Struthio camelus: one gene and its partner. The protein of the gene in region 2 interacts with the protein of the main gene of each other region in a pairwise test. Links are inferred from orthologs where the notes say so. Each region holds a gene or a part of one and is shown on either strand. Other genes may lie near its edges.

Region 1 (8,017 bases), on a different chromosome or scaffold from region 2:
AGCAAACTGTGATCCATACTGAAAACTTTCCTATCGCAAGTAACAATGGTTTATTCACCTCCTGTGTTCGTAATGAACTACCAAGGCACAGTCAGGGATGTGTCATGCCCAGTATTCCTGGCAGACTTGTCATTTTATGTAACATAATGTGAAGGGGAAAAAAAAAAGAAAAGAAAAAGAAAAAACTTGGTCAACTTCCCAGTGATGCACTGGGCACAGGAAACTTAAAAGGACAATTGTTGCTAAATATGTTTGCTAAGGGGGAAAAAAAAAAAAAAAAAGAATTTAACCCTTAGTGTGGTAGTATTGCCAGAGAAACTAACCTTTCCACACGACGACTTGCGGGCACTTGTGACTCATAACACCATTTCCTTGGAAGAGATGATGCCGAGAACTTGGGGTGACGAGACAATCAGCCCTTTACCAAACCTTGTTCCTGGTGCAGGCTGATTTAGAAGTTGCCTGGGAAATTGCCTTTTACCTACCAGTTGGAAGACAATCAATCATCTTTATTATTTCGTATCATAGATGTGTTAAATAAAGAGTAGCAGTCCTTTGATGGACCTGATTGGTACAGCCCTTGTGGCCGTAGAATTAGGATTCCCAGAGAAAGTAAGTGTTTATTCTGGAGCTAGGCAGCCAGGGCACCCTAAATAGCTGTGGGAACGGTGTCAATGAATTGTAGATATCTAAAATGAAGCTGTGCAATCACAGAAATCCTGAAAATGTCCGCACTGCGCATTCACTAAAAAGTGAGCCAAAGGACGGCAGCTTAGTTGGAGACATTTTTGTGATAGATTCCTACAGTTAGGTGAGATACATGCCATCTCTGTGGCTTTGTTGCACTTACCATGAAAAAGCCTTCTATACAAACACATTCACTATTCCATTATATATTTTGTCAGGGTGTACAATAGAGTCTTTTATTCTCAGAGGAGAAAACAACTGGAGATGAAATTTGAAGCAAACTCTCCAAGGACATTACTGAATGATTTTCTTTTCGGACACCTTAGAAACCTCCTTCAAGAGGAAATAATTTTCTAATCATCGTCTTATTTGTCTAGATCAAATTGGTCATTGATATAAACAGGTTTACCTCTGCCGATATTGAATTTCATTCATTCATTTATACAGTCACAGATCTTGTTGCTTCATATATTCTGTGCTAAACTTCTCTCTCGCTTTTGTTTCTTTGTTTTGTGATCTTTTTTTCTTTACTATCTTATGATCTGGAAGAAAAGAAAAAAAAGGATGACTGGGAACAGGCATTGTATTAAGGAGGCTTACAAATCCATATGTAGTGATTAAAAAAAAAAAAAAAAGAAGGAAAGAAAATCCATCAAAAGAAAATTAGAATAAGCAGATAACCATGGTAGAATGTACAGGTTTTTATCTAAGAACAGGAAAAAATTTAGTGGGTCTGTAGAACCTACTGAATCATGAAATTTACTGAATATTACTGAATCATGAAATACCAAATGAAAATTAAACATGTGGACTCTATGCCTTTGCATCTTGCTCATTAGAGAGTGACACACCGTCTCTGATCCCAGCACAACAGTGATTCACAGAATTGATAACTTTTGATCCTCTCAGCTGAGATTTTGAGAGTTAAATCCAGCCTCACAAAGGGATTTAGATGTCCAGCTCTCTAAGAGGATATTAAAGGCTGTGAGTTTAGCATACAGGGAAAAGGGTCAGCTGAGCAGCTAAGAAAGGCATTCCCAGCAGTCGGTGTATTGAGCAAGTCGGCTGATAGGAAATGCTATGAGAGGAATATGAGAGGAATATGTCTGAAATCTTCCTTCTTTCCTGAATTTAGGATCATAAGTCAGGAATTCAGTGTGAAACCACCTCCAGTCTTGGACACCTAAGTCATGCTGTAGTGAACCAGTTATGCTCAGGTGTCTCTCTTGCAGAAAGATTCCTGAGAGTCTGTGCATTGACTCAATCACTGCCTTGTACTTTGTTATGATAACAATCAGGAGGAGGTCTTCTTCTAACCAGAAAGAGAACTGAGTCAGATCAAGAAGTAGCTCCTGACTGAAATAATAGTGATGTAAATTTGTTCAAATCAGTGGCATTATCCTAGACAAACACTAGTGTAATTTAAAACAGAATCTGGGTCTAAGTGTCTTCTCGAAGCATCGTTTCAATGAATATAAGAAATACATAACTATGTTTCCATTAGGCCCAGTGGAAACCACGGAAATCTTACCATCAAAGGGTGATTTACCATTAAGATCTAGAGCATGATTTCTCACAGAAAACCCAGCTTCTAAATTTCAACTTTCTATATGGATGGCACTGAATAGAGCACATGGGAAAATGTTTTCATTTCAGCTAACAGTGCCGAACTTCTTTCCATTTTTCTGAATTGCTGGGCTGTGAAAACATGGACCTACGATTCTTCACAGTGGTGAGAAAGTTAGCAATGCTTCAGAGAGGTGAAAATCTATAGGCGGAAAGTGGTTGTTGGTGTTTCCAGAACTGTGAGTAAAATATTCCTAGCAATCCCCACTTGCATGCTAAAACATTTGATTGACCCTACTAAAATACTTGGCTGGTGGAGTTGCAGGATGACTGCAATTCTTCTCAAGAAGAGAACAATTTTAGTTTGCTAAAGTGCCCCTGGTTCTGGTCATTTGGTCTCTGGACCGACATACGTTCCCTCTGCCCTTCAACGTTATTCCTTCACCTAAGTGGAAAATTCCCGGAGAAGTCATGTTAGCCAAGACCAAACTTGTAGTCACATTTGTTTCTTGTTCAAATAGTAGAGAGACTGTGAGCAATGTGACATGTGGGAGCACAGAACAAAGCCTGCCACTTAACCAATGAGTACATTTGTTTTCTGACTGAATTGTTAAGCAAGGATTGTGCTGCAGCCCTTCAGAATCTGATTTGTTTTAGAGGAAAAATGAGTCTGTCCTGGGATCCTGGCCATTAAATATCCACTTCTGTGAGGTTGATTCTTCTCTCAGCTGTCTCTAGTGCAAATAAATAATGTTAAGAGTGTATAGTGATTTAAATCATCTGTAAAGAATAACCCCACAGCTCAAAAGCTACTTTCTCCCTCTAGCTCCCATCAGATACGTGCCTGCCCTTCACTGCCTATCCTAAATACTTGTGTAAGCTTGGCGGTCATGTCTCCATTTCTAGCTGCATAATTCCAAAAAAACCCCGAAACTCATCTTCAAGTGTGATTTGACAATAAGCTATGAACCATGCCTAGAAAACCTGTCTGGACAAACCCAGCTCATCCATTGCACAAGACACTGGATTTTGCCCTTTTTTGGTTCACAGCAGTTTATGGGGACTGGGTCTATGGGTAGAAAACTTGACCAAGTGCTGGGGTATTTGTCATTAATCTGAGAAAGAATGGGGTGGAGCTCATTTTGGAGAAAAGCACCATACTGAACTGCGTTGTGGAGGAGATTTCTGAACAGACATTTCCCTAGGACAAACCGTGATGTCAAAGGGCTGGAATCATCACAAGGGGGTTAAATCTGCGGAGAGCGTTGCTGCTCTACTCATGCCTTGTCTTTCTCATGTGAGGGATTCCTTCTTGCCTTATCAGTACCGGTACAGAGGTTGTTAGGTAGTCCAAATCCTAATTGTAGGAAGAGGTGAGTAAAGAAGGAATTTCCTGCAGGCACAGCAGAATGGCAAGGCAGCTCCATCCCACGGATGCCAATTTGGGACACCTGGAAAGTACTTGCTCTTGTAAACTATTCATAGAGCTCTTCTTTCCCTCACTCAGTTCCCTGAGGTATGAGATATGCCTTGTGTCTTGGCCATTCTGTGGGTGGGACCGGAGAAGCTGGTCACTTCTGCTCTTCAAGTTTCAGAGAATGGATTTGCAATAAATAAAAATTCCACTGAATAAAATACTTAATTTAAATACTTGGTTAATTGACTGTGATTGTACCTCACATTAAAATTGGACACACTGTCTTGGGCAGAATTTGATTTCTTATTGGTCTAGCATGCGATTCCTCATTCTAGCCCCATTGCAATTAGAAGGGTAAAAGACAATAACTAACATATCCTAATTTATTTGATTTTTCCTGTTTTTGCCCCATTGGTACAGTTCTGTTGGGTAAGTGTATTATAAAACACAAAGAAATAAAAGTGGTTATTTTGGAAAATCAAGAACATCTGAGAACTAGAAAGCATAAGAGTTTGGGCATGACAGGCTGCAGACATCTAGATTTTTACTTAAGCAGTCTTCAGCTTTGCATCTGAACAAATTATTGAAAGCTCAATATATTTTAAAAGCCCTTCTTGACTGTCTAATGCTATCCAGGTGTGTATTTGACTTTGTCTTCATAGTGACATACTTCCTCGGTGAGAAAGCCTTGAATTAATTAAACTACAATTTAAAAGTTGACACCAGTGCATTAAAGCAAGAAGAAGAAGAAAGAAGAGGAGAGAGAGAGAAGTAAGCTGTTTTTAAATAGTCATCTTGCTTTCCAGACTTTGCCTGGGCAATTTGCTTCTGACCCTGGATCAGATCTGGTGCATCCTTGAAGTCAGAGCAAACCCTCTGACTTTGAGGCGAAGGCACCGCCAGCTGCGAAAGCGCGCAGAGATCTGATAACGCAGGGGTTAACCTAAGGCATGTATACAAACCTTGCTGCGATAACATCAGAAGAGGTTAGACCTTTTGCTCTTCGAGACGCTCTGGCACTGCTGGGAGATTCATTTTGTCTGCAAAATCAAGCGTGTAATTTCCCTTGTCCCGCAGTCTGTGTCTCTGTCTGCGGCCAGTGCCGTGCATCGGCGGCGGCAGCAGCCGGTCTCCCTGGTGACTGCCGGGACAGCTGACCTTCAGGAGAGGAGCGCTGGATGTCTGCAGGCTATACTTTCACTTCAGGATGTGGGTTAGGAAGCCCCCAGATTGGCTTTTTTCCTGCCGGTCGGAAGGAAGGCAGGAGAGCGAGCCCAGGGAAACCCTGAGACGCCTCTGGTTGGGACGGGGAGGGGGTGGGGGGAGGCGGAAAAAGTGAAGAAACGAAGTAAATGCCCATTTCATACGTCCCTCAGCACGATTTCTTCCCCTCCGCTTAAGCATAAACCTCTCAAGGGCAGAGCAAAAAGGGTGCAGAGAACCTGCGCTTCGACCTAGCGCTAATGCAAACCCCGTGCGCTGGCGGAGAGGAGCCGGGCACGGAGACGCGGGCTAGATCAGACTGGCTCTTCTGCAAACCCGAACGCCTCCTCTAGCTGCAGAGGGCAGCTCTTTCGGGTCCGAACCGCCGGCGTATGAAGCACCCAGCTGACCTGCAGTGGAGTTATTTCAGCTTTACGCGGTGGTCGCAGGGATTAGAACGACTCGCAACCGTTAGTCGGTCAAGACCTGTTTGTGTGAGTCTGTGTAAACATATATGTTTGTACATCTGTCAGGCTTGGCATCAGAAATGCGTCCAAGTCTGCGCAGAGCCAGCAGAGGAGAGGTTCCCACCTGTTTTCAAATGAAACGGAGTCATTTAAGTCCCTGGAGCGCCGATTTAGTTGTTGATTTTATTTATTGCTTTCGGATGTCACCGGCTGCCGGTGAAGCTGAGCATGAACAACTTACCAGCCTGCACAGATAACTTTTCTTTTTGTTTAGTCCAGCACGAGGGAGAAATCCTGTAAAAGCTCTCAGCCCAGTCTGTGGGCTGAATGGCGATAGAGAAGTCAAACGAGTGAAGGTAAAATTCCTGCGGTGCTCCTAAAGACTTTTCCAAAGATTTTAAAAAAGCCTCTTAAAAACGGCAGCAGAGATCGAAGGCTGTTAAGGGAAGGGGAAAAAAAAAAAAAGGGGGAAGAAAAAACTTTGGCAGGCATGCAGTGTCTTACATCAATCTAGCAGTCAGCATCTATGTAGATGTTCTTTCCTCCTTTTGTGCAACACCCCTTCCCTCCTACAGACCACCCAAAGCCCTATAAATAATCCAAGAACTCTATTTTTTCTCCAGATTTCTCTTCAGACCTCAAAGGGAAAATATCAAGCAGAAGAAGGGAGAGAGGGAGAAGAAGGGAAAGTGCGAGAGAGAGAGAGAGAGCGAGGGAAGGGAAAGATGGCTAGTGAATTCAAAAAGAAAATGTTCTGGAGGGCGGTGGTGGCTGAGTTCTTTGCCATGAGCCTCTTTATTTTTATCAGCATTGGCTCGGCTCTGGGTTTTAGTTTCCCGGTTGTGGGCAACAAAACGTCCACAAGGTCTCAAGACAACGTGAAGGTCTCGCTGGCTTTTGGGTTATCCATTGCTACCATGGCACAAAGCGTGGGCCACATCAGCGGTGCCCACCTGAACCCCGCGGTGACCCTGGGCCTTCTGCTGAGCTGCCAGATCAGCATCTTCAAGGCGCTCATGTACATCATCGCTCAGTGCCTGGGGGCAGTGGTGGCCACCGCGATCCTCTCGGGAGTCACCTCGTCTCTCCCAAACAACCTCCTGGGGCTCAACGCGGTAAGCAGAGAAACTTTTGATTCCTCCTTCATTTTTAATGTAGAAATGTGAGGGTAACACCAGCAAGCTACTAAGGGGGTGCGTGTGGGTGTGTGTGTGCGTATGTAGAGGGCGATGGTAGCTTCACTCAGCCAATGGCTCAGTTTAGGGGGGGGATCCAGTCCTGACTGATTGACGCCAGGGTGAATCTAGGATATAGGTACCCTGTGCTGTCAGCTTAAGCACTTTATTAATCCTTTTCCTTTGCAAGAGATGTCGTAGAGAAGGTCCCTTCTCCCCACCCCCTTTCTAAAGCTAGAGGACACTGTGGTCACGACCAGTTTTGCTCATGTTTAGTTTTGTATCTCTGCGTTGATAAAAGTCGCCTTTTGATGCCAATTTAGCATTGAAATCACTGCCAGTTGCGAGGTCGATCCCTGTGATGGTGCTAAAGGTCTCAGATAACATGCCTGCGACTTGCGATGCTGATGAATGTGCATACAGCGATGTTGTTTTCCCATGTGTGAATGTGGTTCTTTTTTCAATACCTAATTAATGATTTCTGTAGCCTGATGATGACTGCAATGTAAGAACCTATGGAAAAAGACACAGAGAGGGATGTGTAGCAAGAGGAAGCTGTGAGCATTACCTGTTGCATTAGGCTCAGTTCCTGCCTGACACAATGACAGCTGCGCTTTCCTTGTGCTCCTGCTTTTGCTATTCAAAAGATGAGGAAAACACTGAATTCTGAGATGTAAGCTGCAGAAAGAGGTGAGGCAATGACATTTAACAGGGATGAAGGTTTCAGCCCTCTTCTAGCCTGCTGCTCACAGCTATTAACAGTCGCATTGCATAAAAAGTACTTTGAATATTTCAGTGCTTGGCTGCAACTGTTCCCTCTAAAAATTGCTGTCATTTTATTGTTCTTATTTTAGCATAGCAGCCGTGAAAAGGATAGATACACTTTTTAAACATTAAATCATCCCATTGTCAGAGGCAGTCCCACAGCCACAAATATTTGGGTCACAATCCAAAGAGGAGTATTATAAGTGGAAATTCCCTTCTAGTCACTTTTCTCACCTGATGCTGTTAAGGACAAATATATCACATCTTTTCCGTGGCCCCTCTCTTGCAGACTATTTCTGGCTGCAGTCTGGGACTTGAACCTATTTGAAATATTATGTCCAGTTGAAGTCGTAGGGATATTTGGGACCTAAAGCTCCAAATCAAAGGTCTCTTCATAAATCATTTGGGCAAAAGGGGAAGAAAAAATAAACAAAAGTTAAATGCACAAATAGGGTAACATGTTTTAGCATGCTATGCCGTTATAGTTAACTCCAAAAGTGAGACTGTGAAGATTTTTTAAAACGTAATAAAAGTTGGTATTAAAAAGGTCATTCCTGAGTAGCCAAAGTGTATCATCCATCTCAGCATTACTCTGAGGGTTAGGTGCTTACCTCCCTCTTCGGAGTCTGGTGCCTGCAGGTACCTCCTTGTGCCACCACTTTTGAAATCTTAATAGGGTTAATCCAGCACATTCTGGGGAAGAAGAGAGAAGCTTTTTATTAACTCCAGAAGGCTCT
Region 2 (7,408 bases):
TGTTATTTTTTGTCAACTTCTGTTGTAGATGGTAATAAAAGCAGATGGTGAAAATTATTTAGTTGCCAAGATTTCTGAATGACACATTTCATATTTCATTAACATCCTGTATGTACTAAGAGGGAAAATGAAAGTAGTATAAATCACACTTAATCTAATTTAGTCTGGGAATGTTGTCTGAATCCTGTTGGAAGTACTGTATATATAGTGATATATCTCTTATTTTTCAGCTTTTGCTGTGAAGATAGTTTAGTATAAACGATGGCACTAGGAATCTGCAGGTTCCTGATGCTGACTTTCATAGAAAAAATGCTGAAGAATTAAAAAAAAAAAAAGTATGGTGAGGCCTGGCCTGGCCTCACATGCGTTTTTAGTTATTTATTTTCTGCTAGCACACGGAATTAAAATTGGGCCTTAATCTGTTAAAGGTCAGAAATAGGTGGAAATAGTTCTACATAAGCAGAAAAAACAGACCATGGATGAGGTGAGGGATCATGGGAGAAAAATGGAGAAATGAAACGAAAGAAAAAAGTATAATCAAGACAGAGACTGACGAAAGACAGAGGTTCAGCTGGTTGGTGAAGCAGTTATCCACATAAAATCTATTCACTGCAATTGAAGAATTCATTACTTCAGTCACATATTCAAAAAAATCTAGTCCTTGATGTCAAAGATCTATGTTGGAGCCTTCCTTTCTGAGCTTTTAATCTAGATAAGGTCAAAGGTATGTGGAAACTGCAATCATATGTGTAATAACCAATTTAGTGATATGTAAAATCTTAAATAAAATCATCATTACTTTTACTTTCACTTTCTGTACAGTTATATATTTGGCCTAAGGTTTTTTTTTTAGCAGACTGAAGACAGGTTAAGCCATAATCAACAGTTATACTAGGCAAGTGTTTAAAAAAAACTTACTGAGTCACACCATAAATAGGATATACAATCTGCTGCAAGAATGTAATCATAAGAAGTTATTTTTATTTTCTCAAGATCAACATTTAACTTTTCAAAAGCCCTTAGCACCACTGGTGAACTTGCTTCATGAGAGGAAGCCATACTGCAACCTGCCACTTAAAAATGGCAGCACAAGAACGAGCGGTCTGCTGAGAGTGGGCATTAGTAACTTATGCTGATTTTTGCAATTGATTTATGGAACATAGTTCAAGATGTAAAGAAAACCCATTTATTTACAAGATGAAGGACTCTGCCTGTATCTTTCACTCTATAGCCAGAGTACAGTAAGAGCACTTAACAGACACTCTCAGAGATGCAGTTGTTCAGTGCCAACTTTTTTTGTTTTTAAACAAGAACAAGGAGAAAGAAGCTATTAACCTTCATCCAAGGGGAGTATCACCACTGTCATTTGTAACAACACCACCAATTGTAACAATACTACTAAAAGAATCAGTGGGAGGTGTGTCAGAATTGGCATTTGGGACTACAAGCACAACCCCATCGAAGCTCTTGCCACTCCCAACTCCAGTTACCGCTACTGCTGCTGTCGCTACCTTGGAGCAGAGAGAGTATATAGTGATGTGCTGTAAGGAACTATGTTAAGAAACAGCTTTTATAGGTAGGCATTAACAGCCAAGCGCTATTAGGAACGGAGAGAAGACTCTCCTAAGGGATGAGAGAAGCGGACAGGGAATATTTCTGAACAAATACAACATTTCAAAAAGGGCTACTATGACTGAACTACAGAATTCACTTGAGATCGAACTCCCATTTTGCTAGGCACAATATACGCGCTGGTTAATTACCTAAGTACAGTACTTAAACAGTAAACAAGTATCTCTAAATATCTTCCGAGGCTTCAATCAATTCTTGCCCTTAGCCTTGGGAGTAACACTGTCACCAAGTAATTACACGTGCAAATATGCAGATGCAAATTTTGGAGGCTGTCTGTGTTCACTTACAGCAGGTATCAGATGATCTGAATGACTGAATAGCAATGACTATTCAATTCAACTCTGTAAAGGAAATATTAGGTGTAAAAAGATATGTGCATGTATGCCCACATACAAAAGCACATGATGTGGATGTAACTCGAATACATCCTGCATGTTTTCTCAGTGCAGCTCTTTGTGTAAAAACAAAAACAATACTACACAAAATGATAAAATAACTAAGCAGTAAGAGATAATTTTCAAGGATGGAAAGAATCTGGAGTGTGGGGTTGTAGTTCCTCATCATTATTCCAAGTCATTAATCAAGACAGCAACAGAAATCAGTAAAGAAAATAATGACAACATTGAAATAACAAACCTTAAATTTCACGAAATAGGAAACGATCAAACCTATTCCAAATAAACAATGTATGTCATGTAGAGAAAAATGAAATGTCAATTAAATGCTGAAATCTGTTTCTGGAGCTAATTTTTGATAGGACAAATTATGGAATGCATTTTGCTAGTATTTTTGTTATCTCTTCTGACATTACTTTATATCATTATAACAAATCCACATTTCTATATACATTTGTTAATTCCAAATTGATAAAAAATGTCTTTCGAAAATAATTATTTAGACATGCTTTAAATAAAAAAAAAGCAGTAACAAGAAGTTTAAGGCTCTGAAGAATGGTAGGAATCATATTGTGGTAAGTTTCATAATCATAATATCCCAGAAAGACGGGAGTGAAAGAGCAGCAGCATTAGCAGAAATAGGTCATCAAAAGACTGTGTCTGATAAATTATCAAGTGAACTTTACACCATGAGCAATTTTATACTAGCTTCAAAACCTTTTCACAGTCAGATTATCTTTCTGTTGTGTATACAGTATTTGTAAAGAATTCGTAGTGGTTGCAAGAGATCAAGTTTTCCTACTTAGCCCCCAAATAAATACCCACATTTTAGCTGCTAGTTTCGTGTTCATGGAACACCAGTAGTTTTTGCTGATGTTCACAGGGCTTTTCTCCCTGCATAAAAAATTGGGATTTTGACCCACCAGCTACAACATAATCACTTCTAAATTATTTAATGTTAGAAAGTGGCTCCAAGATAGAAAAAAGTACTATCTTTCAAGAAACTAGACTGTTATGATGTAAGTCTTCTTCCTATAGCTACCACAATGATACAGAAGACATCACAGCATAAATCTTAAAACTCTTTTTTTTAACTTGAAAATTGATGAAAAGATATACCGTACGTGTTTTATGCCGAGTACCAACTGAAGAACTTTCACAAATGACACAAGGGCAGGTACAATTTAACCAACCTGGAACCAACTGTTGGAAAACTTTAAGCTTTAATAAGTATGAAGTTATCCAGGAGCTTATATGCCATTTTAGCTCATATATTTATTTTTCTTGATCAAACAGTTATTTTCAGCTTTACAGTAAACTACAGTGAATGCTCCGAGAACTCGCTTGTAACAGAAGATGACTAAACCCATTGTTACTGTAAACGCACCTAGAACTATATTGTTAAATGTATTCTGCATATCCATCTTCAGCCTTCAGATTCAATAAGCCGCTTAAATGTACATTCCCAAACTCTCAATTATGCAGCTTTACCTAATAACCGAAAGCTTTCAATGGCTTGGCTGTAATAATTATCAAAGGGAAAACACTCATCAAGCTTATTTATAACGTGCTGACCTTGTGTGTGTGATGTATGCCAGCGTCTGGTTTCAATTTTTATCATGCCTTCTTCACGTTACACCTTGTTACCGGATAATAAACTCTTTACAGTGTTGAAGAGCATGATGGGATACTAAAACCTAAACGTAACCCGGGTTAAAACAACGCTTCGTTGTTACCCTGTTCTGCTTCACCAAATAAAACACAACACAGCGTCCTGACCTGAAAACCCTCCTCTTTCTGGTCACCGGCCCGTACGGGCGGTGCTCTGTGACCACTATCACCCTCACAGCCATAGTGCCAAAGCTGAAGTTCATTCACCGCAGCCGCGAGCGACGCCCGCAAACAGCCCTTCACATGCAAAGCCTGAAAATCTTCATTTCGAACCACCACGCTCGCCGTTCCCCAGGCAAACCCGGCTCCTCACCCTCCAGGCTGCCGGAGCTGCCGCCCGCCCCCGGGCACCCCCCGCCGCCGGCCACCTCGCCCAGGCCGGCTCCCCGCCGGGGTGCCCCCTCCCCGGCACCCCTCCCAGGCGCGCTCCTACCGGCAGAGGGGCCGCGCGGCCCCCACCGCCGCCGGCACCGGGCGGGCCGCCGCCGTCAGTCCCGCCCCCGCACGCCATAGGGCTGCCCCAAGCACCTCGCCTCCTGATTGGCTGTGCCGCCCGTCCATCCGCCCCCCTCCGTCCCGTCCCCGCCCCGCCCCGCCCCGCCTCGCGGGAAACCTGTGCTCGCCCGTACCTGCGCCAGCTCGGGTTCCAACCGCCGCCGCGACGAGCCCGGCCCGAGTCGGTGCGTGGGCCTCCCGGTGCGTGGTGGGACGGGGCTCCCGCAGCCCCGAGCGGCAGGGAGGGGCGAGAGGAGCTGGGCAGGCCCCGCCGCCGCAGCTGCCGCCGCCGCCTCTCGCCTGGCAGGTTTGACGTTTGCCGTTTGCCCTTGTTGCTGGAAGTGACGTCTCCTCGGGCAGGCTCCGCGGAAGCGGAAGCCGCCGGGGTTTCGTGGCGGCAGATTCAATCCGCGCCCTAGGTCGGACGGCCCCGTGCCGCGGACGAAGCAGGGGAAGGCGGTCGCGGTCGGCGAGCCGGAGCCGGAGCCGGAGCCCGGGCCGGAGGGCTCCCCTCCGCAGCGCAGGCCGCCCCAGCGGCGAGGAGGGAGTGCGGAATCTGCCGATCCGGAGCAGGCGCCCTAGTGGCGGGCCGCTTCCCGCGCCGGGCTGGCAGTTGGCGCAGGTGAGTGTCGGGGCCGGGGGCGCCGTTGGGGGGGGCGGCGGCGGTGGCGGCTCGTCCCTCCCGCGGGGTCCTTCGTCTCCTCGAGGGGCGGCGAGCCGCCGGGGCAGAGCGGCCTCCGGTCGGGCCAGGGGTTGAAGAAGGGCGGAGGGGGAGCCCGGCCCGGCGGCCTTCGTCCGCCGCGGTTAGGGTGGCGAGCAGGGCCGCCGCGCAGCCGCTCGTGCGGTGCGCTCGTTGCCGAGTGCCCGCTGTGTTGGAATCGCGTCTGTTACAGCTAGCGCGATACTGAAGGGCAGTATTTCTTCTTGACGCTTTTGGGCCTCCACAAAACAGCCTGACCTTCCTTCCCCCCCCCCCCCCCCCAGATTTTTTAATATATTTTGTATATATATATTTATATCCATATTTAGATGTTGTTATGCCTGAGTTGTAGGGAAAAAGAACATGATGCTTTACTTTGGACAGCTTATGTTATATTGGCTCTTCTGTCATAAATTCCTACAGACAAAAGTTACTTTACATAATATTCATCTTTGCAATGTATTAAATTATTCTCTACCCACTTGAATCTATTCAACTTCTACTCTATTATTTTTATGACCTATTGAGCTAGTCAGAGGTTTGTAGCCAAGCTAGAAATGAAGGTTATCATCACAGCTTTTTATATCCAGAGGTTTGGTGTGGAAATGATTGTTAGTTGTTTTGGGAAGCAACCTATGTCCTTGCAAGGATTCCATTTTGCTATGAGAGCATCTTCTGTGGTTATTTGCGTTGTAGATTGGAGCTTCAGTTTTACATTAAGCTCTTTGAGACTTTTCTTCAGGAACTAGTTTAAACTGCCAAAGCCACAGGCTGGCTCACTTTCGGGAGCCCATGAAGAAAGAATACCTGCCTCAGTTTGCAAATATTTGAGGTTCTATTTTCTCTAGGTCCTCAATGAAGTGTGTGGTGTGTTTATATTTAGCACAGCTAACACCTGCAACCTAATAATTTACCGGTAGAAGTCCTCAAAATCACGGGCACTGTGAAGAAGAAAATGCTTTAACGAGGGAAGAGCACACCTGAAATCTTAAGCTTCTTCAAGGTTACTAGTGTAAACACCACAGGCACACGAGAAGGGAAAAAAATGGAACGTTGTGAGTACAAGCTTTTAGTACATTTTTATTATGAGAGAAGTGTATGGTCAAGAACTTTCTTTTTAAAAGACTCTTCGCTTTAAATCTGTAATATCAAATAAGTGACTTGCAAACTGGAGTACTCATATGAGTTCTTTTCTGACGAAGATAGATATAATCTCCTTGGGGTGTTTCGTCTTTTGATCTGTGGTGGCTGAATCACATGCATTAGTGTGAGAAATTATATCATGAAATTCTTTATCTTGAAAATATATCTTCGACTATAGGTTGTGAAGCAGTGCGTCTTTGCTACTTGAACTGGTAAACTTCAAAGCATTTGTTTTCTGGCTAGAAAAGGAATTCAGCAGATGGTGGAAGGCAATTGTCTCCTAGGCTGTAGCAGAAAATTGAACAGTAAATTTCTGTACTAAGGTTTTATGGCTGAAATCATGACTCTTTCTGAGGCTTCTGGAGAACTACAGTAGCGGGTTAAGCCAGTTAGCTGCTAGCAGATTTGTAAAGAAGTGAGGAACATGTTGAATAAGCGCTGCTTTTTGTGAGAGATATCAACTTTCTCTTCTTGAGTTTTGGATTCTTTTTTTCTGTAGAGGTGGAAAGAACCTTCATCTTTCATACCCACTCTGTTGTCCAGACTCAGCATTATGATATTATTATTATTTTTTAATAGCTTAATTTTGAAAGAAGTTACATAAGAGATAGAAACTGGGGGTACTCTTTTAAGTTCTAGTTTATTTCCTTTAATAGCCATAAATTGTCTCCAAAGCCATTAACTACACTAATGTTTTTTAAAAATTATTGCTTTCCTTTGAGAATTGCAAAGTTCAGAACTTTGCAAGTGCTCCCCATACATTAGGAATATACTGATGAAGTTGCTTACAACTTTGTAGTTGCGCTTCCAGTCATGACTGGAACCTAATTATGTAGTTAGGCTTGCATAATTCTTTACCTCTTATGTTCAGATTTCTCTGCAGTTTCTTGAAACTAACTTTTCTTTATCTGCCTTGCTTTTTCTCTAATAAACAATTTAAAAAAAAACACTGAGCCTGGCAGTTTGCTAATGGACTTTCTCAAGTTCCAGCTGACTGAATGCTAAGATACAGGCTACTTGTTTTCACTTAAGACTTACAAGAGCTGAGCTATCCAGTCTGTGCTTTTTAAAGTCTTGTGTTGGAAAAGAACCAGTAATGGTTGCTTATAATTTCAAAACAAATCTTTGCAAGATATAGTAAACAATGTTCCCGAAGTGTCTCTAAATATTTATTTTGAAGCAATGGAGTGAGGGGTTGGGTTTCAAGGTAACTAGTACTGATACTTTGATTTGATTTCAAGTTAACTGCTTCAGGTGTCTCTTTAAATCTACTGAGCAGGCGTAGTTGCCACTGTTCTTAGCTCTCTTATGGCAATTAGTTCTCCTGAGTCTTCCCCTCCCCTTGAGAATTTACTAATTAGTTCTGTTTGAC

What was found. The genes of interacting proteins can lie anywhere in the genome.
Region 1: the proteins of CEP44 (region 2) and AQP1 interact in binary tests that used the Homo sapiens proteins (3 or more experiments, as listed by UniProt). The link is inferred for Struthio camelus from reciprocal best matches to the Homo sapiens genes CEP44 and AQP1.

What each region holds. Positions count from the first base shown.
Region 1 is NC_090943.1:5,170,185-5,178,201, reverse strand, and holds the start of AQP1 (aquaporin-1), read left to right. Parts: upstream 1-4,936; 5' UTR 4,937-6,065; coding exon 6,066-6,455; intron 6,456-8,017. UniProt on the Homo sapiens protein: Forms a water channel that facilitates the transport of water across cell membranes, playing a crucial role in water homeostasis in various tissues.
Region 2 is NC_090945.1:46,873,030-46,880,437, forward strand, and holds the start of CEP44 (centrosomal protein of 44 kDa), read left to right. Parts: upstream 1-4,329; 5' UTR 4,330-4,815; intron 4,816-5,741; exon of another isoform or gene 5,742-5,776; 5' UTR 5,777-5,948; intron 5,949-7,408. Other genes in the region: FBXO8 (F-box only protein 8), read right to left, coding at 3,603-3,648. UniProt on the Homo sapiens protein: Centriole-enriched microtubule-binding protein involved in centriole biogenesis. In collaboration with CEP295 and POC1B, is required for the centriole-to-centrosome conversion by ensuring the formation of bona fide centriole wall.